Oreochromis niloticus: one gene and its partners. The protein of the gene in region 1 interacts with the protein of each later gene in a pairwise test. Links are inferred from orthologs where the notes say so. Each region holds a gene or a part of one and is shown on either strand. Other genes may lie near its edges.

Region 1 (6,946 bases):
CTGAATAGATGTGTTGGAGAGCTGCATATTTTTGAAGCCTGGACTCAGACAAAGGAGTTGGATGCAAGGAAACGATGCATCTTTGTCCGATAGTTGACTGTACCTGTGTTGTGTTTACCTAAAGTAGAGGCTGTCAAAATGTAAGATCAGGAAAAACATTTTTTTGAAACATTGAAACATGAATGCCCAGGATTCACTGAAATGATGGTCGGATGGTTTTAGTTTGGCTTCACGTGCTATAATAAATAATAAGAACTGGATTCTTGGTGAGGAAAAAAATAATAATGTAAAGATCAAAACTCAACAGCTTTACAGACCTCTTTATTAATTGTAAAAAATAATTAAATATATTTTTCAATGCAGTATTAAAGTAATTTATTATATTCCTTTGAATATAGGTTTGTTTAAAGCAGCTTTTTTTTTGGTTGTAATACCTCACTTGACCCCTGGGACGGGATAAAATTGGCATTAAAGGCTGAGTAGGGGTGACATAATCCAGCTCTCGTAATACATTCATGTTTGGCCTGAAGATTTGTCTTGTTTATTAAAACAGTCAACAGCTGAAGCAGCAGCAGCAGATGTGATGCATAATCATGCTTCCCACTTTTCGAAGACACCACTATGTCTGATGCCCATCACAAATCAGCAGTGGGCTGCAATAAAATCATGTTAAGTGCAACGCTGCTGTGCAGTAAAACAAGATTAATTGTTTGCACGATGACCGATATCAGCAGAGGGATAAAAAATGTAATTATATACTTGCTCTGGAGTAAGATGAATTGTTAGATCAACAGATAGAGTTATATTGTGCATATTGAGAAGGGCTAACATCCAAATGAGTTTTATGACTTAATAATCAACCTGTGGTCATAAACTAAATAAATGTATTATCAAAAGGATGAGTTGTAGTGGTGCCTGGGTTCAGTTTAAAACTTAGGAGCAATGATATTTGAAGGTGGAAGTATGGCTCCTTCACATTGTCTGATGGTATTTCGGGCTAACTGAAAGCAGCTCTAGTGCACACTGGAGGGATACTGTATCCGATCTTCCCTGGAAACGCCTAAGGAGGAGTTGGAGGTTGGGGCGGGGGAAGAGGATCTACTAATCTACTGAGCTTGCAGCAGAAGACCTAGACCTGAAAAAGTGGTCCTAAATGCATAGATCAGTCAGTCAGTCCCAGTTAACAACATCCTTTTCTCTCAAATGGCATGCAAACCTGGGTGGTCATGTTCAGCTGGTTTATACAAGAACATTTGTATTGATTGGTTCTTTATAAAGCAGTAATATTAAAAGGTTCTATTTTTTTGTGAGATTTCATCTTCGATTCACATAATAGTCGTTGAAAAGAAGAGACAGATTTAGTTTGGGGTCAGCCTTTTACACAGCTATACACATATATACATATAGACATGGTTACACATCTGCACACACGCTTTCTCAGGCAGTGATATGCAGTCTTCTGTCCTCAGGACTGCAAAGATCTCATTTAGATAACTCTCCTGATCTCTCGGTACCTCCCAGAGTCACCCTTCTTTGCTATATCCATCTATTATGTTATCACATGATGAGATAACAACTTTAGCTGATCCTTTCCCTCGATAGTGAGAGATCGGTGAGAGACCTGAAGAAAGCAGCTGACCTGGATATTTCCCTTTCGCAAATGTTTCTGTCATTTGCAGGGATTATGATTGCGTCAAGCATCACGTGCATCTGTATTGTGACAGCTACGATGTACCCGCTCATTAGACATGTGGAGGGTATTGATGCTCTTAAAGAGTGTGGTATTTAGCCAAATCAGCGTGAAATGCCATTATTTTAACCGTCTCTTTTACTTATATAGTCTGAAGCTTTCCGCCTCCAGAATGCTTATGTTGCCATCTCCATGTGCGACTGCGTATATAGGATGTGGAATTAAATTCACAGTCTTTCCTTAAATTAACCAGTGTTTTAATAGTGACAAACCACATGATAAAGACAATTATTTATTTATTTTTTGCATAACAACAAATTTTCCCTTCTGAACAAAGGAAAAAAAAAAACGATATAGTTTTTTATTGCATGAACTCCGAAAATTAGACCATTGCTTTAAATTGACCATTTAAGTTTTGAGTGTTTTGTTCTTCGAATGTTAAGAGCCAGTGACTGCAAATAATTTCAAACTGTTGCCCTAACAGTACTTGACATTTAGCATTTGATTTTACTGGTCTGTGGTTGTTAAGGGGAGTGGGACCATACTTCACTTTGAGAATGCCACAGAAAACTGCATGATGAGCGGCCTGACATACTGACATCTATAAGGCTGATAAATCAGTTAGAAAAATTACATACATCATTACATCCAGATATAATGATTCACAATCATCATCAGATGAAAAGCTGATATTTTGCAAAATAAGCCAAATTTATTTAATGACAAGTATTTATAGTTACGCCCCATTTACATGGGATTGGAGACCATTAAGGGGCCATCTGGCAACCATCTGGTGGATTCCACAAAAAGTTGGTGAGTGGTTGATGGAGGTTTCTGGCACTCACGTGTGTGAAATTGGTTGTAGAGAGATTTGTGGCGCTGCACCAAAAAACCTCCTTGTGCTTTGTGCTTTGGTTGCTAGCAGGTTGCAAGCTAGCAACCTGGAACACCCCAACTTGTCTGCAAACACTGGCAAAATTATTGCCAGGCAGAGGTGAACTGTGAAATGTGCAACGCAAACTGGAATATGGGATGGCTTGCCTTCAAACTTTGAGCTCTTTTGACATGGGTTGGGTTGCAGCAGTGACTGGCAAAGTAAAAACAGTCCTCATTTATCATGAGAACACAGATATGTCATACACTTGTTTGTTTCCTTTGTTCCCAAGTGATTAACCAAAAAGAACCCCAAATTGTCAGAGTTCACTCTTTTGAGGGAAAAAATGTATCCTGTAATATTTGTTTCAGGTCTTCAGGAAGAAATGGACCTTAAATTCTTGATGTAACATGACACAAATGCTTACAGTTAAATTTGTCTGCAGAAACACATTTCTTGTGTCTCATTTCCTGACCATTAAAACACATAGCAATGAGTACCTGCTAAAAATGAATGTTCTTTCAGGAGTTCATTGCATTCTTTGTGCCTCCAATTCAGTTTTTCAGTAATGCAGTAGGATGTGCTCCACATCCATGTGCAGCACAACCAGCAGCAATCTCTGTTCAAGCCTAAAAAGTACCGTATCATCAGCCTTGCGGTCCACGAGTATACATTAGATATACTAAACTTGCAGATTTCTTTCATCCCTTGGCTTTTGCTCAGGCTACCTTTTTTTTCATATTGGCATTATTTGAAAACAACAGTGCGTTCAATATTTTATTTGTATTTGGCCTGCTGCCTTGCATAGGTGTAATTTCCCATCCCCTCTTTCTCTCTCTCTGTAAGGGAAAAATGCTGTACAGTGTTATCCTGACAGCCTGGCACTGCTTCTGTGGGACTGTTTGCCCTCAGCACAAGGCCTGTCCACGGCTGCCACCGCTCAATGTCCCCTTCTTGTCGGCAAACGGCCAGACTGTCACAGTCTCTGACTGGACCAGCTGTTTTTTTTTCTCTCTTTCTTCCATCTTATCTCCTCCGTCACACTCTCTGTCTTCCTCCCTGTGACTTGCCGTGTGAAAGAGGCAGTGATAGGCCGCCTAGTGATGCAGCTCTTGACACAAACGTTGATATCCACACACGCTGGCATCGGTCGAAGACAGTTTTTATGTGTGTGTGTGTGTTGGCCAAAGCGACCAGCACACAAACACCATCCTGTGGATTGTGGGGACGCAGAGGACACTCACGCTCTGTTGTTTTTGTGCTTCTGTTGATGGACAAGTAAGTAGGAGGCGGACAGTGAAGGTCAGAGGCAGCTCAGTTTGGGACGCGGCCGGTCAGACCCAGTTAGACAAACAATAAACGTAAAATGGGATGGGTCCAGGCTTAAGCTGTCTGGCCGTGCCTCGGCCCGGGCTGCTGGCGTAGGCACTTTTTCGTGTCCTGTGCATCTCACATTGGGAGTTATCAGAGCATACAGGCAGGGTAGCATTACTAGTAACAGTTCGCCGGGGAACGCAGAGGGTCCCGAGTGTGACCTGATTTGTCAATTCGATGACTTCTCATAAGCATCGCTCCACCGGGGGGAATCATCAGCTTACAACTGGAGAGGTGGACTCGCTGTTCAGTGATTTTTGTGCAAAGAAAATTGAGGCGCATAATGGATTTGTCAGGAGTGTAATTTGACATCAAAGCGAAACATCTGAGGAGCACTTAATTGTCTGCCTCATTATGGCCTACCCAGAGAGCTTTGATTGGCTGAAAGAGACCGTCAGTTTGTTGCCAGGTAAGACCTCTGATTCACGCAGTCTGTGTGTAAAGGTATATTTATAATCAGAGCTGGAGCTTCCCATTGCTCCCAAAATCTTTAAACCTCATTTGAGAGAGGAATGTTACAAACTGTTGTGAACAGTGTGCAAATGATAAAAATCTTTTTTAAAAGCCTCTCCATCAGACCGAGTTGTTTACCGCTCGACGAAATACATCTTTCGGGAACGGAAGGTGAAATGCATGTCTGTGTAAACAGTTTTTGGAGCCAATTAAATCATCTGAAGGAACAGGGTGAAGAGAGAACAAGTGAATGCAAATGAGAGAGAAGTGAACAGCAGACAACAGAGCAGGGCAGGACAAAAGAGGAAGGAGGGGGAACAAAGACTACCTGTGAGGATGCAGGGACACATTTGCTTCTCACTTTGCTCATTTGCCACCACTTCAAGTAAAACTAAACAGAAACACGGGTAATTTCTTGAACACAAAGGGCAAACCGGGCTTAGGCTTTCACTATGAACCTGTTGACCTTTTAATTAAATTAGGAGTGCCTCCTATTCTCTGTAGGAACAAACAAAGTAGAGAGCATTGGCCCTCCCTCAGCTTGTTTATCAGAAGGCATTTATGTCCTTTTTCATGTTGCGTTTTAAATTATGTATGAAATGTATTTGCATATTTAATGCATGAGTGAATGCTCTGCGTCTCGATACCAAATTATGCTTCTAAATTACAATCTAAAGGACAGAAAATTAATGTGCTCTTTGGAAAACATGATGAATAGACTCTGCTGCCACAGAACATTAAAGCGTGCGCCAAAAATAGATACAGCGTGTATACAAGACACAGACAACACGAATGCTGACACACACACACGTGCAGACTCCCCGGTTCACTGCAGTGTGTGTGTCTGTTGAGGTGCTGTTGTACAGAAGGGGAAATGCCTGTGGAGGCTCAGATGGTGACAGATGGTTTGGAGACAAATCAGCCTGGGAGTCAGGATCTCTGCCCTGGGACCAGTAGCCCATTTAAGTGTGTTGGTGTATATAGCGTGTGTGTGTGGTTACTGTGAATCCCATTAAATGACGTTGAAGGCTAATTGTTAATACATTTGAATGCATTTGCATGAGCCTATGGATGGCTGAGCATCTTCCTTTTTTGCGTGTAGAGGATGTTAAATGTTATGTAATGCTTCTCGTAACATCAAATGTCATTGCTCTGACAGATTAAACGGTATGCAGGCATGTCGCACACCAGTGTGCTTTCTTTTTTAGATATTCACGCTTCCTTTTTTTATGAACAAATGAATACAACACACTCAGATATGAAGGTAAACAGTTTGATCACTTGTTTCCTCAGCATCCTAAACGATCTCTTTGTATGCAGTAGTGTCTGTCTGCTTAGCTTTTAGTAGTTGTGTAGCTTCTAAAAGAAATCAGTGTTTGCATTACAAACAGTACTCTGCTTATTACCGGTCGTTTTCAGCCATACCCATGTGTTGAGTTACAGTGGAAATAAAGAGGCAGGATGCTTTATTATAGCTTCATTAGCTGTTTGAGTAAACTGCTTATCCTTCTGTGCAGTGCGGTGAAAAATCGGATCGAGGCCGTTCACCACACACGCAGTCGCAGCTCACTGCAGTTCAGCACAGCTGGAATGACGGTTCTGCAAATCTCTAATCTCTGCCATATATTACCAGGTGCAGTTTTTCATCAGAGTGACATTGTTACTCTTTGGCGGGCTAACCTTGCAGGCATTAGTGTGAAACTTCTCAAAGTGCTTTACAATGCGCCCATAAATTACAGCTCGAGAGGTGCTCGTACGGCAGCCTGGAGAAGTTGTGCAGTAAGTAGTTCCTCTGGCTTCTGCGTGGCAGCAATTCCCAGTGGGCTCTACGCTTCAAGTACATCTCAGTCTGAACTTGTTTTGTGACTGTTGTGAGAAAGAAGCTGCTAAAAGCGCTGCAGGAGTACGTTTGGGCTGGGCGAGTACATGAACATGTGTCTCCATCTGCTGTCTAACACACGTTCAGTGCTGTGTTTATGTGTGTCTGTCTGCATGTGTTGTTGTGTCTCCTTACTGCTGAGCTTGGCCTTGACGACTTAAGTCCTGCTAGCCTTTAATAATCTTATTCCCGAGAAGTACCATCTAGGTCATGGGTTTCCACCTTCACTATGGGCTGCTTACCCACAAGTGCAAGAAGGAAAACAAAAGACATTTTGTCTTTTGTGAAAAGAAAGCTTGATTAAAATATCCCTCTCGTTTAGCTAAAGCTGTTTACTGTAATAGATTTTGTTCATATTGATAACACTGCTGGATTTACCACTACACACCTATTTAAAACAAAAATTGGTTTTCAGTTACCCTCAGACAGATAAAACAAACTAGCTAGCTTGCTAGCCGATTTTAAAAGTGCTAGCTATTTAGCTTGTTGTTTGGTTCAGTGTCTATAAATTACTTTGGTTCCTTTTAATCACTATTTTCTTGTCAAACAAGGACCAAGAGCTACATACAATCATTTGAAAAATAAACTTTTCACAGGATTAGAGTCTTGTGAAAAACTAGCATACACATACTACTTCTATAGGAATTAAAAGTGTATGTAACAGCTGGGTAATGCT
Region 2 (7,489 bases), on another chromosome or scaffold:
TGGACACATTAGCCTTATGTCAGAAATACAGACATAAGAGTGAGAAGGCACATTTATGTAGGTACAGGCTACAGAGTAGTGCTGCACTTTTGCGAATGCATTATTACAACCAGACCTATATCAATCACCTATCTGATATTGGCTGGTCGCAAATATATTGGTATTGGCTTTCATTCTGTATAATATGATGCAATATGAATATTTTTGCATAGGGACAACATACAGAAAGACTGTAAGGCAATGGTGCCAACAACGACACCCCAAAGACTTGGATGTTAGTTTCATTGGTGGCTGTAAATTGACTCTAGGTGTGAATTTGGTTAGATAAAAATGGCTTGGAGACTATTTTGAACAGCAACAGTTAAACTGCTGCCACAGAATGCACAAAAACACTAGAGATGGAGTAAAAGTGGGGCTAAGTTTGCTTATAACCAGGCAGCATAACCACATAAATTAAACAGACCAAACTGCGGGTTGGACTGTTCTGCTTTGTGTATATAAAATTACACATTTTAAACTGGAGCTGTCTGAAAAAGCCACGTTGATCTGCTAATTATCCGAGGAGCCACAATCGAGAAAACTTGAGAGAAGATGACTGAATGAGTTTTCCCAACCAGATTTTCAGCCAGTCTAAAGCAACTTTTCAGAGGCGAGCCAACTGGTTAAAGCTCCTAACACAAGTCAACCTTGAATCACAATAACTTTTAGTGTGCTGCGTTACCATTCGGAGCTCCTGTGGTAGTAGTAGCCCTCAATTGTTGCTGTGGATTTCTGGAAGCAGATGTAGTAGAATCCTGCAAAGGAAGCGCCGCTGATGTCCTTTATTGTGTGGTCAGGGACCAAAAACTGTTCCTAAGGCAGGCAGGTGAGAAAGACCAACAGAAATATAAAAGCCAACCTACTGCAGAATTTAGTTAAGTTCACTCTTCGGTAATCATACCTTCCACCTCATGAAAATATAGTCAGAGTTCTTCAGATCCTCGTAGTCAAAATCATCAGAGTTGAATGTCTTTGCATACTGGTAGAAGGCCTGGAACTTGCCCTGGACACAAAAACGTTTACAGGATAGGACAGAATAAATCAGTCTGATGGAGACTAATTTTTGTAATTTACAAATAAAAGTGGTTTCACCTTACCCAGTGCTTACGATCCACATCCTCATCCGCATCCCATTTCCGAGTGAGAAATGGCCGTTTCCTACTGATGATCTCTCCAGCAAAGAAAGTGGTCAGAGTTGGATATTCCTAAAACAACAACGAGAAGCAATTGAAGACACATCTGGTCACTTCTACTGTTTGCAATTAAAAAGAAAGTAATATTAAATGAAACAAACACATCTGTCTATTTAATGTTCAATTATATAAAAGACAGTTCTATTCTAAAACACAGCAGAAAGTGATCATTTAGAGACTGACATATAAGAGGTATGTGTAATAAGCCAACACAATGTCACAGCTAGTTCACCACTGCATTCATACAGTGGGAATGTTCTGGATGCTCTGTACAGCAGGAACACAAAGACGTGAGCTGTTACCCAGTAATTACTTCTGTAATAACCGAGGACTCTAATTATAGCATGTATTGCGTTAGCTGTAATTTACTCTGTGAAATAGAGTTTAACACACGTCCTAACAACATAGTGTTATGGTTATTTTGCCAGTGTGCTGATAACATCTTATTTACACTATCTTTGAATGTTGCTATTAAGGCATGATTAGTAGTATAACATCCACCAATCAGAAGAAAGTTGAATTTAAGTGAACGTGGTCTTCAAGGAAGAAGCAGAGGATGAAATGAAAGCCCAATAAAGATTATTCAGAATCATCCAAAGCTACTCTAGCAGAGGCAAAGGATATAAATTAGAGCTGGAAGTAAGCTTTGTATATCTAAATTTAAAAAAAGAAAACATACACAGACATCAGTCACATTATCACAGCTTCCTTAACACTGGTTCCAGGTCTCTAAGACCTTTACAGATACGGTTCTGGATGCCAATGAGTCTTGGTAAATGGTAAATGGACTGGTTCTTATATAGCACTTTTCTACTTTATTTGAGCATTCAAAGCGCTTTATACAACATGATGGATTCATACAAGCACTTCTTTCTATGCCTGCATACTATCTAACATTCACACACATTCCCACTCTGGATGCATCTGAGAGCAATGCGGGGTTAAGTATCTTGGCCAAGGATACTTTGGCATGTAGATCGAACCACTGATTATTAAATGAACTGCTCTACCTCCTGAGCTACAGCTGTCCTGTGTTGTGCTTGGTTTAAAAAGAACCCTAAATTGAAGCAAATTTCTCTTTGTGTGTGCGCCTAGCAAATTTAGTGCAAAAAGAAATCTCCTAGAATCACAAATTTTCATTAGGGTAACTTGAATAAGTGCAAATGTCTGTAATCAGAAAGCAATTGCAAAGATTTGTCCTACAAGGCATGAAAGGAAAACACCTTTGCTAAGCTACAGCTTGACACTAAACATTTAGATTAAGACCAGAGGCCTCAATTATCAAGGGTACTAAAAATAAGTTTTCAGGAAATCATTTAACTTGTAACTAAAGTCTTGTTTTGACATTTCGTTATCTTCTGGTTATGTGTGGCCATGTGAGTTCAACCCGTGATAAACTTTGCCTTTCTTGACACCTGGTGCCAAGCAGCCTCAACACAAACTCAAATGGTGTGTTTGTGAGCTCAAAATGTAGCCTACTGAATAACACATGTTGGGTGTCTTATATCTTCTCTACCATTGCCATGATTCTGTCTGTGGCCGATCCAGACTACCCGCTCATTTCTGTAGGTATTAAAGCGTTATTACGTTAAGCCGTTAACAAGTTAACCACAGGATTTTAAGGACCTGTGTGGCAATCTCAAAACTACTTTTAACTATTAATCCAACAACATTTTTTATTGATGAGACACCATACATATTAGAACAATGTGTTCTCGACAGCCCAATCAAAAAGGAGTTGCACGGCCACAATAACTGATGTGCTCTGCCTCAGGGGGAGAGTGCAGTTACTGATTCAACTATTTCAAAGAGCACTCAAAGAAAAGGTTCAATAGTTGAAATTAAACTAGAAATTGATATTTTACAGTGACCAGCAAATGAATTAGTAGATGTTTAATGGAAAAAGTGGACAGTATGTGCAAGAAAACCTTTAAAAAATCTTGCATTTGAAGGAATTTGCCTAAAGAGATTTTTGAACAACACTGCATAAAGCCTTCAAGAAGCTAGCCTCTCTACTCTGGGCAAATAAACCTTTTGCTAAACAACTGTACTTACTTTTTCCATAGTGAATTTTTTTTTACATCAATTGGTACTTTGGTTGAAAAGCCCAATAGTCTTCGTGTTGTCTTATGTTAATGCCTTTTTCTCTTGGCACTGTTAGACATGTTTGCTACTACAAAAATAGTCACAACAATTTCCATGACAGCTGTGGCCAGACATGGTATAAATTATTTATGCTCATGCTTTAATGAAGGGAATCACCTCTCTCACCTCTGTTAGTCCTTTTATCTTCAGGTAGCCACATAAGTAGGAATCCTCCATGGTCACATGCTTTAAAAAGAAAGCAAGACATACAATAAACTACATCACATTGACATCAGTTCAGATCATGTTATGGTTTTACAAAGGCAATGCTAAATATTTAATTTCTAACAGCAACCTCAAATACAAATAATTTTCTACTGAGGTAAATGTTTGTGTAGGCCTTCACACCAATTCTGAATGTCCTTATTTGTATTTTTAGTAATAAATTACTTCAGATGCATTAAAACATTGACAACAAATTTAAAATGTTTGTTTGTATTCAGTCGTGGGCACTGCTACGGGACAGGACAGGGCTGATTTTACCAGCTGTCAATCATCATGCCGCCCGTTTGACAGATGACCAAATGCCTCTGACATCTCGACTGAATAACGAAATAGTCGCTTCACTGCCCCACCTGCAAAACAACCTCCACGTCATAAGAGTTTCCTTTGCTTTTCTGGTGGCCCCTGAATTTGGAACCGCTGTACAGGAGCGAAGTGACAACACCGGGCTGCTGCGTGTTTATCGGGGGCGGCGGGATAAGTGAGGCCGAGGATGTGAAGGCCGCGGTGGTGGAGTCGCTGAGGTATCCAGCGGGGACAGGCATGGCTCCGGCTTCGCTGACCGGGCACCGACCGCGGGCAATTGCCGTCGAGGAGAGGTACTCTGTCGGCGTCTACAAAGAGGTGGCGGAGAGCCGAAGAGGTCCAACAACATTAAAATTCCACTTAATTCCGCTACAGTTCAGTTTACCAGCAACCAAGCTCCCAAAGAAGTGGACTTCGACGCGGTGTTGTAGCCAGAAGTATCCTCCGCTCTCATTGGTCAACTGAGTCTGGCTTTCGAACATCTTCGAAGCTCATTGGTTCGCCGTGCGGAAGGTTTCGTGGAAATATTTGGATGTAGTTTTTCAACTGTTGTGTAAGGGTGTGTGGCGCACGTATAGAAGCGCTCTTTAAACTACATTTCCCGAAGAAACTAGAAGCCTCTACGCTGCTGTCAAGCGCCGAAGGTCACACGCGTGTTTTTGAACACAAAGATGCTTAAGAACTGAGCAGCTGATAAATGCAGTAAAAATAAGACTTTATGCTAATAGGAAAATATGCGTGCATTGCTAACTCTTGTTTAATGAGGACGTTTCAGACACAGACATCTCGAAGGTGTGTTTTCTTCTCAGTCAGCCTTACTTAAAAGCATCACATCTTCACATACTTTCCGCTATGCTTAGGTGTATAGTTAGACTTCAGAGTCAGGTTGGGAATGCTTTTTCTCTCAGTAAGGTGTGTCTGAGAAATCAGCACTACGAATGTGTTGCGAGATACTCCGCAGCCACAGCAGGTAAGAGCAATAACCACCGTGAACGAAAGCTCCGGTCATCTGCAAAACATTTGTGTCATTTCACCCTGATGTGGCGTTTTTCTGTTCACCAGAGAGGAAGAGATTTTATCAAGATGTCAGCATATCTCAAAGTGAAGGTATGTGTAGTATGGTCATTAGTAATCCAGTCAAGTATAGTATTGTAGTAGCAGGTTTTCCTGCCCCATCTTTATGCTTGTGTCATTCCTTAATTTAGTGGATATCTTTTGAAAAATATCTCTATATAGGTGGTTTATATGAGATAAACCTCGACCAAAGGAAGCTGAAAACTCCAGGAGGGAAGCTGTTCACGGTGCCAAATGAAGCCTTGGCCATCGCTGTTGCAACTGAGTGGGATGCTCAAAGGGACACGCTCAAGTTCTACACTATGCACTTGGTAAAGCATTTGACATGGAGTTATAGCAAAGTGTCACATGTTTTGGGGTTTTTTGTGTTTGTTTTTACGGTGGCGCCTATGTTACATAAAATAATCTTGAGAGAAAAGGAAAATTTGAGAGGATTTTTATGATTTGATAGATCATATTTATAAAAGGAATGTTACCCAGATCTTCCAACAGCTTGCAGGACGTGTACCTTTGAACTAACTTTGCCATGATATTTATACAAAACTTACAGTAATATTAATTTTGGGAAACTCTTCCCTCAGACTACCCTGTGCAACACGGCTCTCGACAATCCCACCCAACGCAGCAAAGAACAAATGATCACCGCTGCTCTCAAGTTTCTGGAGACTGACACCATCTGGTATGGCACTCGTTTATTTCTATTTATTTTAGGTTTGTTTAATTTTCTGAAACTTCAAACATAAACTCATCTGCAAATAAATGTATATACATCTACATAGTCTATATATCCTATAAACACCCATGTGCATTCACAGTTCCACGTGCGCATCTGATAATTATTTAAATTTGAATTTATACAAAATAAGACATGAAATAAAACAAACTATTTTATGTTATTAATATCCAGTAACACTTATACTCGCCTTTTTCACCTTGGGAAAAAATGTCCTTTTGCATAGTGCTATGACACTTTAAGAACAGTTCGAATTGCACTACAGTTAATTGTTCTTTCTTTATAGCTTTAAATATGTATGCTTTCCTGATCATAATGATGATGTTATTCAGCTATTTTCCTTAAGCCAACATCAGAGTTACAGGATAAATATGGAAAATTCTACTTTTAGACTTAAAAACAAATTTATTTTTGTTACAGTAGCAGAGTAAATGGATATCTGACTCCCCTTCCTGCTGATAAAACCTACTTGTGTTACACTGTTATATATCACATTTTAAAACATTTTCCTCATAGAAGCCACTCATTTATTCATTTTATTAATAAATCAGTGTTTTAACACCTATAAAAGAGACATCGACACACTGTAGACAAACTTAGCTGGTTATTTTCTGAGTTGATGTTTTTTATGTTGCTTAGTTGGCACCAATTGATTGGAGTTATTGTGACTTTAATATTGTAGGATTTATGTTTTGTGTAGTTACAGAGTAGATGAGCCCCATGGTTTAGTCGAGCTGCAGAAGAATGAATGGGACCCTGTGCTGCAGTGGATTGAAAAAAGGTAAGAACAGCTTTAGCTCTTGTTGTACATGCTGCAGTTCTTTTCAGGGTATCCTTTCTTTTCCTGATAACAATAATTAAGTGTAAAAGGCCTGATCTGTGGTGTTCACATTGCTGTACTTAATTCAGAATAGTTAAAGAAAATCTTGTGTATGTTCTCCTTATTTGAATAGTGATTTGTGCAGAAATACAGGCATATGAAAATTTAATGTAATATTATTAACAGAAAGTTACACAGGTGATCTTGTGCAATAACGGATAACATAAGCCTTATAATAATGTATCTGATTCAGATCAGTTCAATTGTATTTATATAGCCCAATTCGTAACAGCAGTTACCACAAGACACTTTATGTTGTAAGATAAAGACCTTGCAATATTAGAAAGAAACCCCAATAATCACGCCCTTTGACCAAGCTCCTGGCGACAGTGGGAAGGATAAACTCAGTTTAACAGGAAGGAAACCTCTAGCAGAACCAGGCTCAGGGTGGAGCAGCCATCTGCCGGGGTTGGGGGAGGGAGACGGGGTAAAAGACACTATGTAGAAGAGCCAGAGATTATATAACTAATGATTAATGTAGAGTGATGTATAAACGCACAGTAAGTGAAGAATATGTCTGTGAAGGTTCTCAGTCATCCAGGTCATCGTAGTCTATAAGGAGCTTGGAAAGAAAACAGCGTCTGGACTTGTTTAAGTTGCTTGAAAACCCTAGAACTGAAGAAGCTTCTCGGATGAGAGTCTTCAAGCAACTTAAACAAGTCCAAACGCTTTTTTCTTTCCAAGCTCCTTAGACAGTAAGTGACGAAGCACTCAGTGCATCATGGCATATTGCAGTTTAACTAAGGGAGGGTTCAGTGTCATCTGATCTATAAGCTTTAAAAGGAAAGTTTTAAGACTAATCTTAAATGAAGAGATGTCAATATATGCTCTCTCCTTCTAGTCCATGTCAATACTCTGGCTGTGATATTCTGCATCAACTGAATGACTTTTCAAGGA
Region 3 (7,770 bases), on another chromosome or scaffold:
AACGTGATTAACGAGATAGTGTTATCTTCCCGGCAGCCATGTTGGCTCAGAAAAGGATACGGGGACAGATTCAGACTGACACTGTGTGCCCAGACACTGTAGGAAGGGTCACAGCTTGCATGACACAGCCTGATACTTATGTCTCTGCAGGCTGACCTGCCAGACTGTATCTTGGGCAGGACAATTCTGTTTACATTGGACTGGTCTCACCGATGCTCACGCCATGCAGAGCACAGATGATACTCATACATCCCGCAAAGAGCTGTAATCATGATGAGTTGCGTACGCTTTAAATGCAGCTTGATCCTGGCATCAGCCTTGTAAAACACAGCACACCAAAGCTGTCTCAATAGTCAGTTAAATAGAAAAACGAAAAGAACTGAGTGAGCAGAGTTTCTTGGAAACATTTACTATTAATGGTAAGGGCTTCAGTATTCCAGACAGTAAAATTTTATGAGGCGTTTAGCCAGTATAATTACATGTGAGGTGGATGAAGAGATTTCAGGTATTTTAATGTTTTAATAATTCTTCCTGCTATTCTTATAACACTGTTTTTGAAAAAGCAATAAATGCATTTTTATGCATTTCAAAACAGCTTCATACAATAAGCATATACACAAAGGGATTTATAAAATAATCCTTTAAATATGTCATATGAAAGATGAGGAAATGTTTGTAAAAATCTTACTGTAGACAAGAGTGAGCTGAAGCATTAAGGTAAGATTGCAAGTGGAGAGTATTTAAAGTCACTGTCTAACCAAAAAGTCTGTTTGTTGTTGTTTTTTTAAATACACTCACTGAGCACTTCATTAGGTACACATTGCTAGTACCAGCTTGACCTCCCTTTTTACTTCAAAAAACCATCTTAATTCGTCATGGCACAGATTCAACAAGGTGTTAGAAACATTCCTCAGATGTTCCTCAGAGGTGACATACTAGTGTCACACAGCTCCTGCAGATTTGTCAGCTACAGTGGTCCCTCGCTATAACGCGGTTCACCTTTCACGGCCTCGCTGTTTTGCAGATTTTTTTTTTTTTTCGTGCAATTTTGCATGCTTTTTTTAATTTTCATTTTAATTTTTTACAGCGCATTGTGTTCTGTGTCCTGATTGGCTGTAGATCATTGTCAATCAATCTCTTCCGTGCCGTGTCTCCTGTACAGTACAGAATTTTTTCAGCTTGTCAAATTTACATAAATCCTCGATCGCTAGCAGCGTGACTCTGAAGTGCTGTACTATATGTTTGCAAGTTTTCTCCCCAACAAACACAACAATGTCCATGAAACGTTTTGCACCGTCAAAGGCACCTGCGATAGCACCCAAAAGGCAGAGGAAGATGCTAACCATCGCACAAAAAGTGGCACTTCTGGACATGCTAAAGGACGGTAGACATTACATTTTTCAGATTATAAGGCGCATTAAGCGAAACAAAACAGTCAGATAAGTCAAACTTTACTCAACTCATTCTTCTTGCTTCCTCCACTTCCGTATGATTGAACTGAATTAAATTGAATTGAATTGATTCATTAATGTTAAATTCTCTCACAGCTGCTCTATTCTGTTCTGGACCTGAAATCTGGGTTTGATCTTTGGTTTCATTCTATAATACTGGACTTATTTTTCTACAAAGGTTTGAACTTTGAGAATGTTTAAACAAGAGAGAAAAGTGTGAAAATGTTCATGCCTGTCTCAGAGAAGTGAATAAAGTGTGTAGTGAGGGGTTTTACAGCCTTAAAACATCTATAATAATTGTAAATAATAAAGTTGGCTACTTCGCGGATTTCACCTATCGCAGGTTATTTTTAGAACGTAACTCCTGGGATAAACGAGGGACCACTGTATACATCCACAATGTGGATTTCCCATTCCACTACATCCCCATTGTGCTCTATTGGATTGAGACCTGGTGACTATGGAGGCCATAGTACAGGGGTTTTGTACTGAGGTTTTGTACTTTTGTATTGCGTACAGGGAACTCATTGTCATGTTCAAGAAATCAGTTATCCTGCTAAAAAGAGCCATCAGAAGATGGGTACTCTCGCCATACAGAGATAGTCATGGTCAGCAACAATATTCAGTTAGGCTGTGGTGTTTAAATAATGCCTAGATACTAAGAGTCATAAATTGTGCCAAGAAAATATCCCCCACACCACCAGCAGCCTTCATTCTGATTCTGCCATCCAAATGTTGCAGCACAAATCAAGATTCATCACACCAGGCAACATTTTCCATATCCTATTGTCCAATTTTGGGTTATTTTGCAATAATGAGCAGTTGAACAGGTGTACCTAATAATGTGGCTGGTGAGTGTGTATTGCCATTGTTGGTGTATAAAGAGCTGGGGTGTCAGTGTTTTCCTGTTGGACTTGAGCTCAGAGACAGTTTAAACCTCATACTGGTCACACAGCTAAATGTCTGTCTGGGATATTTGTTAGTAAATGTGATTTAAATGTTAAAGTGTCAGTAATGGGAGTTGAGCTGCCAGCATGTTTCAACCCAAACACTCTTGCATTCCCATTCATTCACTATTTACTTTTGATTCCTGCCATATTTCAGATCCTTCATCCTTTTTTTCTTTTGCCATATTTTGTCATATTTCTTTTCCCCTTCCAGTTGATTTATGGATCAAACATCAGCGGAAACCAGGAATGTTTGTGCCATCAGCATGGGAAAAACGATCTTACGGATCAGAAAGGGAGCCTTGTTCAGTGTATTTAAGTTTCATATGCTGATTGTGCTAAACACAATAATAATAATAAATCAATGGACTGTGTTCATAACATGTAACTTGTGTAATTTTATGTTCTTGACAAGAATGTATGTTCATCTTCAGTTGTAATTTTAAGTCTCTGGTTCTCAATGAGACACTAACAGAACTTTATATTAAAAAATGAATATTGAATAATCTTTCTACGTATATATTAATACATTTATTCACAAGATGCTTTGTAACGTATATGAATATACTGATCTTTTTTAATTGTTGTTTTTCTCAGGTGATATCTTTCAATTGCCTAAGCAGTGTTCTGTGCAGCATTATGAAGAACATGATTAAATTTACTGACAGTGAATCAGGAAATGAACACAATTTCTTTGCCTTCATTTACATTTAAATAAAGAGAGATGATGGGAAACAGAATAGAGCATCAGTTTGTGTGTCACCTGAACCCATTTCCATTGGAATGCCTCAGTGCTTTGGGACTTCCATTGCATGAGCCCTTTGGTTGGCTCAAAGCATTTCATATTGTAGCTGTTGTGTCGTGCCATACCCAAAACACATCTGATGATTTTGATTTATTTAACAGTGTTGCTTGTTTTATTTTTACCTCAATCAGTGGCAGCAACAGGAAACCCAGCAACATGATTTATTTTTAATCAACATGTGCAGTGTTGTTGAATTTGTCACATGACCTTTACTGACTGATGCTTGTTTGGATAAATGATGATGTGGTTTTTCTTTCCTCTCATAGCTTCTTTAGTCTCCCATCTGCGTGCTCCCTAACCTCAGGAAGGAATTTGAATTAGAAGACTTTCTACCACGTCTAAAGATCACAGACTAACTACTCAAGTTTATTATTTTTACAGTGTTAAAATAAAGGTTTTGCTGAACTTTCACTTGAAGTGAGTCAAAGTCTTCCATGTCTACTAAACAATGTTCTTTTTAAACAGCGCTCTGTAGCATGGTCTCTGCATGGCTCCTAAACTGCAAGTATTAAAATATCTCCAATACCAAAATTTCCAATTTTTTTTGTACTAAATGTGCTACTTTTGTATGTTATGTTATGCTTGTGGTTTCTGATAAATGACAAGTTACACTGTGAAATATATACTATAAACTGACATGATTATTGCTGTCAAAGGTACTGATTGTGAATCATTATGATTTAGAAGCACTTTAAATCAGTTATAGTAAATATGCTTTCTTTATTTATATCCAATTATAAATGGTAACCTGTACTACTAACTTGTCAGCTCTTTGTTGTGTTTGCAATATACATATATATATATATATAAATATTAGAGAGAGAGAGAGATTTCATACTTTAAACTGTATATAAATTCAGGATTAGATCTCTTTATGTCATAAGATCTATATACTGGGTCTGTGTAGACCTGCTTGGCAGATTTTTAAATCCTAATGTAATAAAGAGTTACTTTATTCAAAAATGAACAGTGTACTCTCTATATTTACTTTGATTTTTGGACAGAAAAGACCAAAGAAGTGATGGAAAATGCAGGTTCCTTCCAGATTGTTCCAGAAACTTGCCAGTGGCCCTCAGCATAGTATGGTTATTTTTTTTGTGTGTGTGTTCCTTAAACTAACATCTGGACCATGGAAACACTTAAAAACATGAAGTTTAGAAGAAAGTTCTATAAAATTTGTGTGCGTGTGTGGGTCTTTTTTTATATATAGTTTTCTATGATTTCGACACCCTTTTAAAAATATAATCTATTTTACTACCCACTAAAGACATTACTATGTAAATGTTGATATCATTTGTATACCTGTATTTATTTATTAATGAATTTAAAAAATTGTAATCGAATATAATTTATATACCAAAGGAGGCAACTTTATTACGACGCTATTTTGGGTCGTATCCCACCTTCTGACGTGCGATTGGCCCTAATGCATGAATGAGGTGGACCTTGTATGTGACTAGCTAGTTAAATATCCAATTAAAATGTAGAGCGCTTAACGTCACTTGTTGAGGACCAATAGAAAATCGGCATGGTTGGTCATGGGCTTGGTTTTATGCCTGTTTTAACGCCTTCACTGTCCTTTTCCCCGTCGCCTTACGCCAAGGGTAGGGGGTGTGCATAGGCAGAAACTAACCTATGCTTAAAACTTTCTTTAGTGAAAGTTCATACTTACATTTTTGTGTGTTTTATTTCTCCATTCACCCGCTTATTTAAAGCGCGTGGATTTTTTTTTTTCACTTGCTCCTTTTTTTTGAAAATATAAAAAGCAACGTAACTGTTTAAGGTAAGTAAACCCATTTTCCTTATGTGATATATTTTTTATCTAGTGGTGTTCGTGGCTCTAAACAGTAAATGATGTGTCGCTATCAGCCAAAAAAAAAAATGCTACTAGTTTTAGAAATGGATTTTTAGCTAGCGTTAGCTTTGATTGCTAAACAGTTTACGTCGTCAACAAAGAGTAGTTTGTCATTTTCTGGTTTCTCTAATAAAGTATGAAGTTTACCTTACATAGTACTTACAGAGTTATGTTGTTGTTTCACTCTTAGCTTTACTGTTTAAACTGTGTAGTGTCAATTTGGTTTGCTGTGCCATGCCATGCTTTGCGTTAGCTCTCCATTGGTGTGTATGGCAGGGACATGTCTCGACATGACGCCGGTCCTTGCCCTGACATACACAGGCCTGCTGCTGTGATACGGCTACATGTATTGCGGCCTCACAAACTAGCACTAGAGCTGTGGAGCTCGTGTTTTACACACTTTTAGTAGCAGAAATGTCGCTTTAACTAAAAACGGAGAAACTTTATTTAAGTATATCCCTGTTCTATATTCGTCTCATTTCGCCTCCTGTTTATATACAGTCATTGCTCCTGTCCAGTCCAGTTTAGTCCAGTTCAGTGACGGGCATGTGTTAGCGGAAGGCTTGTTGCAGGATCTTCTCTTGTTAGTAAACTACGCTCACTGTATTTGTTTAACCATTTTTGTTTTGGACCAGATGTCCTTTAAAATACAACAGCCTAATATTTTAATTACGTGGCAGACAGAGCCTTGCCTTATTAAAGAGACTAAGATGTTTATCAGAGTTATGTTAGTAGTTAATACACATTTTATGGTCACACAGTTAATCCCAGTGTATCTTTTGTTTGTTTGTTTTTTACTGTATCACTAAGTTTTATTTTCCTGTCTGTGCAGATGATTGACACAGTAACAGGCCCTGTGGCACAGCCCTTTGCAGCCCAGCTGAAGGCCCTGATTGATCTGGAGGGCCGATACCAACCAAAGCTGAGCGGCTTGAGGTTCATTGAAAGCGCCCAGGACAACGGCCTCAGGATGACCTCCCGACTCAGGGAGCTGGAGGTGAAGGACCTGCTCTCGCTGACCAGGTTCTTTGGTTTCAGTTCAGAGAGCTTCTCGCTGGCTGTCAGTTTGCTGGACCGATTTCTGTCTGTCATGAAGGTTTGTAAATGCAGTACATTTTGCTTGCTTTCTTAAAATCTTAACAGTTGTCCCATGCGCTAATATCCATTTCCCTGTCTCCTACAGATTCAGCCAAAGCACCTTTCTTGTGTCGGCCTGTGCTGCTTTTACATCGCTGTGAAGTCCACAGAAGAAGAGAAGAACGTGCCTCTGGCCAATGACCTGATTCGCATCAGTCAGAATCGCTTTACGGTGTCTGACATGATGAGGATGGAGAAGATCATCATGGAGAAGCTCTACTGGAAGGTGAAGGGCCCCACGGCCCTTCGCTTTCTCCGCGTCTTTCACAGCCACGTCCTGGAGCAGCTCGACGCTGAGAGGTAAGGACAGACGGTCACACCAACCTGCAGGGCTGAGCTATGACTCAACGAGATTATATTTACTCTACTAAAATGTGTCTTCTCATATTTGGTTTGAAAGCTAACACTAACCAAAAATATATTTTTTAGCCAACAGGCACAGTCCTGTTTGAAATCGTGTAGACTTTTAGAAATGTGACAGGGTGTTAGAAAACAAATATGCAAGTCCCCCTTTTCAAACGTTACCTTTTAAAAAATAGAAATCCTTTTGGTTGGCTTTTTTATCACTATTTATGTAAGCTGTACCTCACATTCAGTTTGCTTTGACACTAAAAGCATTTTTTCCCTTTAGCATGAAGATCCTGAGCCTTGAGAGACTGGAGGCGCAGCTGAAAGCCTGTCACTGCTCATTTGTCTTCTCCAAAATAAAGGTAAGACAAAACAACTACTCTCTCCACATTGAAAATAATGACTTATTTCAATGCTTTTCTGCGCTTTTCATTGAAAATCAGACTGCTTTCGTCTTGTACACTTCTCGTTTGTTGTTGTATTTCAGGTATAATGTAGGTCATCTGCGCCGATTTACTTTTAAATGTTGTCATAGTTTCTACTTTTTGTTGTTAACAAGAGACTGTTTGTATTTCTGTGCAGCCATCTCTGCTTGCCCTGGCTCTCCTGTGTTTTGAGGCCCATGATGAACATGACCCAGAGCACCTTGACAAAATATCTGAGGCCTTGAGCAATCTGCAGCAGCAGTTAAATGTAAGTCCAGCTCTGAGCCTTTTGCTTTAAAGAATATATACGAGCAGTTCAAACTAATCCTTATTTTAAACTGGGCCTCAGAGACACAAGCCCTTTAAGCCAACATTCTTCTGATTGGTTGCGCCTAGCAGGCAGAAGGTTTGAACAACAGGCCAGTGAGACTTGTGTGCTCATGGCTACACCCGTGTGCCTTATTAAGAATAGGTCCTTCTTATCAACATAGAGGTCAAAGAGTAGGAAAAACTGTATCAAAATGAGCCTTTGCTCAACTCAAACCAAAATGGCTCCTTTTCAACATTATTGCTTATTAGTATTTTTGTCTAAGGTGGTGATGATCCATGCAGTGTAGCTTAATGAATTTTAATGCTAAAGTGTTAAGCAGAGATGATGTGAAGCCTCATCCTTCTTTCCTGCAGATCAAAGACGGGGATCTGGTTTGCATGCGGGAGCTAATTGGAAAATGCTTGGCTGAGTACGCCACCACTAAGTGCTGCAGGCCAAGCGTCCAGAGACTTCGCTGGACTATTTCGGGAA
Region 4 (7,791 bases), on another chromosome or scaffold:
GTACATATTTAATGATAAGTTTATGAATAAATCTGAGTTTTGTGGTAAAGTTTTGCATGCACAGTTTATATCATCACCAACCAGTGAGGGTGTGTCCCCTGGCGAGGATTCCTGCTGGGAATGCGGAGGGGGTCACTGTCCTCTCCTCTTCTTCTCTGCTCCTCTTCTTCCTCATCCCGCCGACTCTTCCTCTCTGCTCTCTGTCCTGTCGGTCTGTCCTGGGGGGGCAGCAGCTGAGTCTTCACCTTCTCCGACAAACTGTCTGCATCTTTGAACACACTGCAGAGAAGAGAGATGACTTTATTTATTTTCCAGCTCTATATTTTTATTTTCTGACTACCAGAGTAGCTCAGCATGATTCACAATGCAAAATAATCTTTAGTTATCAAACAAACTGCCCTTCAAGGCCAAACTCCCTTTCAGACAACCTTTTTATAATAGGCTTTCTCCAACAAATAAAAGATTTGAACAACAAGTCGGTGGGGTCAATCTGAGACAACCGTATAAGGCAGGCTGAGGACAAGGCATATTTTATTATTATTTATACAGGATCCAAAATAGTAACACAACAATTAAAATAATCATAACAACATAAGTCAATAGAATAAAAGCTTAATAAAGTAGAGCAGCTCAATAAAATAACCTGTCAAATGTGTGTAGCTGGTCAGTGTTCACGTGGTCGTTGATGTTCACCGTTAAGTCTGACACCTGCTGCGTGCTGGAGTTCTACACACACACACACACACACACACACACACACACACACACACGATCCATTAAAAGGATAGATTAACATGTAGAATAATATCTCAACAAACCAGCAAATAGTAAACTCAACCTAAATCATATTTTCTTAGTTTACACAACTGTGTGTCAGATCTTTGCATAGATCTACATTTCTCCAGTCTTACGGTGCAGTAATACGACCTGTATATGAATGACAAAAACTAAAACTAGCACTGAACTAAACACTAAACTAATCTAAACATTTTAATCGATACAAACTCGACTGGACCGAAAAAAAAATACAAATTTAAAAGTAAAGTGTTTGCGACCTCACCCCTGGCTGCAGTGATGTCTGCTCTGAACAGTAAGATTCAAATTTAGAAAATCAGACTTGATCCCTTTTAAGGCTTTTCATGGATCCCTACATCAGGACTGAAATGCAGGATAAACTGCACAGTCTATGTCAGTTCTCCAATGAAAAAATAATCCAGAGGAAAAATTCTTCTTCTTAAGGGGAGTTATGCAAAGTTTCAGGTTTCTGTTGTCATTAATAGAGAGAAAACCCCCACACACTACCAACATTTTTAAGGCACTATTTTAAATTGCCATTATCTAGAAAACTAATGAGACCAGTCCTACAAATGTTTATGTGCTTACCATCAGATTGAAGATCAAGGTGGAATCAACAGTGATTGCCTTGAGGAGCATTTGGGTGTCACTGTTGTTGGCTTTGTATCGCAGACTGTATAGCTCTTTGTTGTTACTCCAGTCAGCAGGCAGCAGCTCGGACTTCTTATCACTGCTGCGGGCCTGGAGGAAGAAGGTCACAGACGCCGTGAAGACAGATAAAAACCTAAAAGCAGCAGCAGAAACCTGCTTTTTCTTTTCACAATATTTGTTATCAGTATTTGGCCAGTTCACTGCAAATAACAAAACAATACTTAAAATATACAGCAAGAAATATGTGCTATTATTAGATATGACATATACTAATCTCATCACAAAGGTAAGATTGTTGTAAAAAATTGTAAATAAACTGCAGATTCTTGTGTTGCTGCAGTAAAACAGACAAAAACTAGCTAACATAAACAAGATCAACTCTATAATTAAAATGTGACAAAACAAAATTGGTCAATAACGTAAAAATTACACATAATAAAATAAAAAACTAATGTGGAAAAAGTAAATATAACAACAATAATGATACACATAAAAATCCAGTAGAGTGAGTTCATTTTTTAGGTGCATAACAATTTGTCATTATTTATATCTAAAGAAAAAAAAACACCTTTTCACCAAATCATCATGTTCAAAATAAAGAAAAATGTTTCATTTTATAAGTGGGTCACTTACTCTTCCTGTTTACTAAATGGCAGGTGTCATTCCAGAGTGATTTTATATAAAACAATCACAGAGAGATGCCGAACGCTTCCCTTTTCACGTTAAATCCCATTATAAATGCTTCATTTAAAAAAAAAAAAAAAATACTACTGATTACCTGTTGATTTCTGTAAAATGAACATGGGGAGAGGATGGAGGATAGCAAGGCTGCACACTAACACGAATCTGTGTCATAAACTCCCGTGGTGTTTCAGGATGACTGCCCCCAGTGGGTTAGCCAGCTAAAGATGACATGACAGTTTTGGTAAATTGTCGCTCTTAAACCAGATGCCGTCAAACTGAATATCAGCCATGACAGCTGGATTAAAGAAACCGAAAACGCATTTTTCACACTTTTAAATTCTTCGCGTTAACGTCGGCTTCACACAGGAGGTGATGCTTGTTTATGAAGCTATAGCTAATCTACGTTGAATATTACATACAGAACTCCACTGCAAAAACCGACATTTTAAGCATTTACTGGACATTACGGTCCGAAAAACATCGAAAACCACATATAGAGAATCTTTTTGCTAATATTTAATTTGTATTTCTCAATTTGGCGTAAGAATGATGAAAAAAGAAAATATTATCTTCTCCATTATGTGGGATAATTTAACACAAGATTTAGCTAAAATAAGCGAACTCACCTCGTCTCCTGAGCCGATGCACCTGTATCCGTTCTTTACCAGCTCCCAGTGAACAAAACACACAACGGCGTCCTGCGGGCAGGTTATCTTACCTGCGACACAGGTGTACAACACCTCCAAGCCAGCCATGTTTTCCTTCAATCTGCCAACATCGGTACAGTTTCAGGCAAAAGAAATGAAAACGAAAGTCTGGCCAGCAGCTTCACTGAGTCAAGCTGCAGTTCGGTGCCAAGCAACAGGAACCATTTCCGCTTCGCGGCTTTTCAGTTTAAAAGCACCAGAGAGCTGACCAAACGGTACCTATCTGCAAATAAAAATATCCAGTGATATTATGTGAGGTATTAACTTTTTTCATTGCTCTTTATTTCTATTTCATTTATTATTTCTAGCTTCAATTACGTTTCATTTTGATTCGCTCTCAGATTAGGTTTTCTTATTCAGTTTAGTTTTTCTTAGTTTCTGGGTTAGTTTGACTATAATGTGGGGGTATTTGTAAGAGGGAAATTTAGCCGAAGTAATAAAATACACACTCAACACTTCATGTCATGTAGACATGAAGTGTTGCGTTTCTCAGCCTTACAAAACATGTGCACCAATGCACCAAACTAAAATATTTTTCTCGTACCTGGGTTTATTTTTTATTTTGTTTGGGTTAACTGTAATAATGTTGAAATCTTCCCTACTTTAATTCATTACATCTTAATAGAGCCTATACCTCTGTATAACTGTTAATCTAAAGTAGGATTTCTCAAACCCGCGGGCCGGGGGCCACTTGTGACCCACGTCACATCTACTTTGGGCCCATATGTTGACATGAAGAATTATAATGCAATTTGGCCCTTGAACGTATTTATTTATATATATTTATATATTTAAAAATGATTTAATATGAAGGCAACATGAACAGAGAGTACAAACATGTTGAGGGATTGGTTTTGTTGGTTTAGTGAGAGAGTTATTTAACAATTTTCACTAGCAGTCAAAAACCAATGTGTACACTGATGTCTGCATTTTTATTTTGTCAAATATGAACAAAATTATGGCAGAAGTGCTGCCATGTGTCTGGCCAGAAAGAGAGTACCAATTTGTTTATTTGGTAGTTCAATGAAAGGCTTCAGTTAATGAAGAGTGAGGGAAAAAATACATTCACGTTTGCAGTTTTGCCTTTTTATACAATATTTGAAATAAAAAAAACCAAACGAACAAATTAACACTACATTTTCTAAGATATTTGTGGGTGTTTTCTTGTTTGTTAGTTTTTGTACCACTTGAAAACTAAAGTGGCCCTCGGATGAGATGACAGTGCCAGCAGTGGCCCACAGCTCATTTAAGTTTGAGATCTTTGACCCCAAAATGTCAGTTGATGAATTTTCAGATGGCATTTTTATGCTTGCTATTGTATTCTTTGTGTGAAGCTATTTTAATGAACCCTAACCTGATCAGAAAAAAGTAAATTTATGTTTTTTAACAGAGTCAATTTTGTTTTTGAAATAACCGCACGGTTAGCGGAAGCGTAGTGGCTCACTGTGTACGGCTTTTTGTTTTGATCCAACACAAATAGTCTCCGGATGAAAACAAGTATAGGACAACAATTGTTCCGCTTTGTGTGTTTGTCCTGTCTGTCAGAGTGTGTTTCACATGTAAAATGAATCCTCAGCTGACATCAAGCAAACATGTAAAAAGATAACACATGCACCCATTATCTGTATGTCTATTTTTTTGATATTCATATTTCTATATAAATTTTTCTTTAATTTCCAGCATTTGCTTTAGAGTACATTTATTTATTTATTTATTTATTTATCTGGACTTGTGGTTCCTTCTCTCCTTCCTACACATTTGGAGACTTCATTTCCCGTCGTGCACCTCGCAGGGCGGACAGCGCTTCCTTGTCAAGATGGCGGCTCCCTTGACTCTGCTGTTGATTGTGGCCGTTACGATCCGTGCCGCTCTGTTCCGGTCCAGTTTGGCGGAGCTGATTGCAGAGAGGGTGGAGGTGGTGTCGCCGATAACCGCCTGGAAGAGAGGTAAGCGCGGGTCCAGCGGCGGTTTGGAGCCGCTGCGGTCGGTTCACGTCCGGGTCCCCTCACCTCCCTCTCATCGGTGCTGTTATCCGGTAACTCGGTCAAACCGGTTCAGCTGCGAAAATCAGCAGCTGAGATTCAAATTCAGAAAGCTTGATGATGTTTTACTGACATTAAGCTAACAGCGGATACTTTTTACTTTCTGTAGGGGAAGATTTAAACAAGTGTTTCTTTGTTATTTCCAATGAATGGAGCTCAGTGGTTGTTTCTCTGTCAAACATCCATCGACCACTAGTAGTAATGACGACCAGAGTCTCTGCCAGCGGCTGAACAAAGATCTGCACAGTCTATAGTATTTGTGGACCCCTTTAAATCCTCCTGTGATCCACATTAGTTTCCACGGGGTCATTTGCGCATAGTAACGTAGACGTTACACCTGTAAAACATCTGGCTGACGTGTGTATAATGTTACATCAGCAAGTGTTTAAAAATTCATTTTCACAGCTACAGCCAATTTAAAATCACCACTAACAGGCACATGGCCCCTGCCTTCATGACCTTCTTGCTGTGAGGTGATAGCGCTAACAGTTGCACCACTGTGCAGACACCCTAATTTGGACAAAAGTATACAAACAGGCTAAAATATATATATACACCCCCATGAATAATTGGTTAATTGACCCTTAGCAACTGACTACCTCTTCTGTAATCGTTGAGTTATGAGGGCTCAAAGTGATGGAGAAAATGCACATACCCCCACCCCATGTGCTTCGATGGCCAGTAAATATCTGAAAATAATTAATGTACAAAAAAAATCAACTGGTTCACAGTGGGAGGCACTCGCTGATTTGACTTTATTATTTGACATATTTATATCAGCTTTCCATTAGTTACCACAGACAAAGGTTTTGTTTTAGATGAATTTGTGAAATGTTAGTGGACAGTGTTTAAGTTTCCATTTAGCATATGATGACACAGTACCTGACAGGAGCCAGAGGTGCAGGTTTGCAGACAATCTGAGCTTTTTCTGTAAAACAGAAAACATGACCAACATGCTGTGAGACTCACACAGAAACATTTCATGCATTTTTCATTAGGCAGTTGTAACTGGAAGCTGTGGAACTGCTACTTTCAAGAGGAGGCATTCAAAGATAACAGCCCAGTGCTGGTAAAAAATAATAAAAGTTGGAGATTTTAACATCATTTATGATTTTGGCTTCTAATGATAGTGGAATAGAGTGAAAATGGTTTAAAATGTAGCTTCACTCTCGAAATGTCAGACCAAATTCACCAAGTTGAAGTTCCATAAATGCAAAAATAAACATTTTCCATAGTCACCAAAATAATTGTGGTTGTGATTTTTATTGTAATCAAGCAGTCTTAATAAAACTGTTTCTCTGTTGCTGTTTCTCTGCAGTTGTTGAAGGTTTGGCTCTGCTTGATTTGGGAGTTTCACCATATTCTGGAGATGTTTTCCATGAGGTGAATCCCTCTCTCTCACTCACACACACACACACACACACACCTATTACAAAGTGTGTGTGAACATTGAAGGTTATATTTGTTACATGAACCTGAAAATAATCAGAAAATTAGAAGGAGATGGTCTGGAAAACAAAGACGAAACATTCCAGATTCTGCTCATTTCGTGGTGAACCATCACAGTGGAAGGGAACTTTAACTTCTTTCTACAAAACGTCAGATTTCCATTGAAGCAGCATTCAGGTAACACCCAGGTGAAAACTTTGCTTACTGAGCAGCATTGTAATAGTGAGAACTGCATCATCAGAACAAAGTGAAAGTGTCAGAGTCAGATCTTCTGAGGGAGGAGGGGCTTCCTCAGAGTCGGGCCATGGCTGGACCGAAGATTTCTAAGAGGGGAGGGCACGATACTCTAAAACATCCAGAGCGAGATCGGGGTGCCCAAAAGTCAACGCATCAAACTTTGTTCACAGAGATAGAAAATTAACTTCAACAAACACAAAATGTATTAAATAAAGAACACAAGAGTCAATCAGCAAAAGAAGGCTGCCCGTTGGTAGACTCGGAGGATGAGTAGCATCTGTAAACCACCTCTCGAATGTCACATTTCACCAACAAGGTGCCGGTGCTCAGTCTAAAACTAGTTTCATGCATTTCCACCAAAAAGACCTTTAGCTGTTTCTCAGAAAGCACTGAAGTTGCTCTGCTCGGGTGCCGTGTTGGTGGAAAACGGACAATAAATGTCTTATTTAATTATTTAGACATGCTCGGATGTTTCAGTTGCTCCTGGTTCTTGATTTTTCCATTACATGCTTGGACCTCATAGATGGTGTATTTCTACAACTGAGATCTGAGTCAGCAGAAAATCCACAAATGAGGCATGTTGATGTTTAGATGTTCATGTTGAATTCTCCTTCTGCTCTGATCCTTTCAGACTCCTCTCATCATCTACATGTTTCACTTTTTGGTGGACTACGCAGAGATCACATTTATGGTGAGTCTGAATAAAAACATCATTTTGAAGCATTTTGTAGTGGAGGCAGTCTCATTACTGGAGAGGGACGGCTCAGGTGGAGCGGACTTGTGCAGAGGATGGATAGGGAATATGCGTGTTGGACAAGAGCTGCCAGGCCACAGAGAAGATTCATAGATGTAGTGAAGGAGGATGTTAGGGATCTGGTGACATGGAGGCAGATGATTGTGACAACCCCTAAAGAAGAAGGTGGTTAAAATCTGAAATGTGATCAAATTGATTGTAAAGCCTCCCACAAACCTTGTTGAGGCAGATGTTGATGAGAGCTGGTTCTCCGAGTACAACCCAGAACCTGAACGGCAGGTTTCAGTCTCAGTCCACAGTTTTGAAGTCCAAAGGCATCAGCAGAGACACCAGGAGCGTGCTTGTCCTCTCATGTTCGATGCCCACAGGATTATACAGGAATTCATAAACCAGGATTCATCGTTAATGCAAAGGTTTAATGTGATTCCCAGTAACATATGAGAGACCAGATTCAGCCCTGAATAGAGTGTCT

Evidence for each region.
Region 2: the proteins of pak5 (region 1) and atpaf2 interact in binary tests that used the Homo sapiens proteins (3 or more experiments, as listed by UniProt). The two-hybrid records come from large-scale screens. The link is inferred for Oreochromis niloticus from reciprocal best matches to the Homo sapiens genes PAK5 and ATPAF2.
Region 3: the proteins of pak5 (region 1) and ccng1 interact in binary tests that used the Homo sapiens proteins (3 or more experiments, as listed by UniProt). The two-hybrid records come from large-scale screens. The link is inferred for Oreochromis niloticus from reciprocal best matches to the Homo sapiens genes PAK5 and CCNG1.
Region 4: the proteins of pak5 (region 1) and psmf1 interact in binary tests that used the Homo sapiens proteins (3 or more experiments, as listed by UniProt). The two-hybrid records come from large-scale screens. The link is inferred for Oreochromis niloticus from reciprocal best matches to the Homo sapiens genes PAK5 and PSMF1.

The regions. Positions count from the first base shown.
Region 1 is NC_031980.2:4,445,308-4,452,253, reverse strand, and holds the start of pak5 (serine/threonine-protein kinase PAK 5), read left to right. Parts: upstream 1-3,940; 5' UTR 3,941-4,292; coding exon 4,293-4,347; intron 4,348-6,946.
Region 2 is NC_031973.2:20,994,640-21,002,128, reverse strand, and holds the start of atpaf2 (ATP synthase mitochondrial F1 complex assembly factor 2), read left to right. Parts: upstream 1-4,474; 5' UTR 4,475-4,623; coding exon 4,624-4,697; exon of another isoform or gene 4,698-4,757; coding exon of another isoform or gene 4,758-4,813; coding exon 4,814-4,875; intron 4,876-4,967; coding exon 4,968-5,012; intron 5,013-5,141; coding exon 5,142-5,290; intron 5,291-5,560; coding exon 5,561-5,658; intron 5,659-6,412; coding exon 6,413-6,493; intron 6,494-7,489. Other genes in the region: glucose-induced degradation protein 4 homolog, read right to left, coding at 722-852, 941-1,042, 1,137-1,244, 3,504-3,563, 3,953-4,144. UniProt on the Homo sapiens protein: Plays a role in the assembly of the F1 component of the mitochondrial ATP synthase (ATPase).
Region 3 is NC_031966.2:26,583,847-26,591,616, reverse strand, and holds the start of ccng1 (cyclin-G1), read left to right. Parts: upstream 1-4,762; 5' UTR 4,763-4,986; intron 4,987-5,890; coding exon 5,891-6,154; intron 6,155-6,241; coding exon 6,242-6,495; intron 6,496-6,826; coding exon 6,827-6,905; intron 6,906-7,125; coding exon 7,126-7,236; intron 7,237-7,652; coding exon 7,653-7,770. Other genes in the region: septin-8-A, read left to right, coding at 3,470-3,524. UniProt on the Homo sapiens protein: May play a role in growth regulation. Is associated with G2/M phase arrest in response to DNA damage. May be an intermediate by which p53 mediates its role as an inhibitor of cellular proliferation.
Region 4 is NC_031970.2:5,252,344-5,260,134, forward strand, and holds the start of psmf1 (proteasome inhibitor PI31 subunit), read right to left. Parts: upstream 3,007-7,791; 5' UTR 2,886-3,006; coding exon 2,757-2,885; intron 1,537-2,756; coding exon 1,384-1,536; intron 727-1,383; coding exon 644-726; intron 280-643; coding exon 82-279; intron 1-81. Other genes in the region: pigu (phosphatidylinositol glycan anchor biosynthesis class U protein), read left to right, coding at 4,654-4,783, 6,198-6,262, 7,197-7,256. UniProt on the Homo sapiens protein: Plays an important role in control of proteasome function. Inhibits the hydrolysis of protein and peptide substrates by the 20S proteasome. Also inhibits the activation of the proteasome by the proteasome regulatory proteins PA700 and PA28.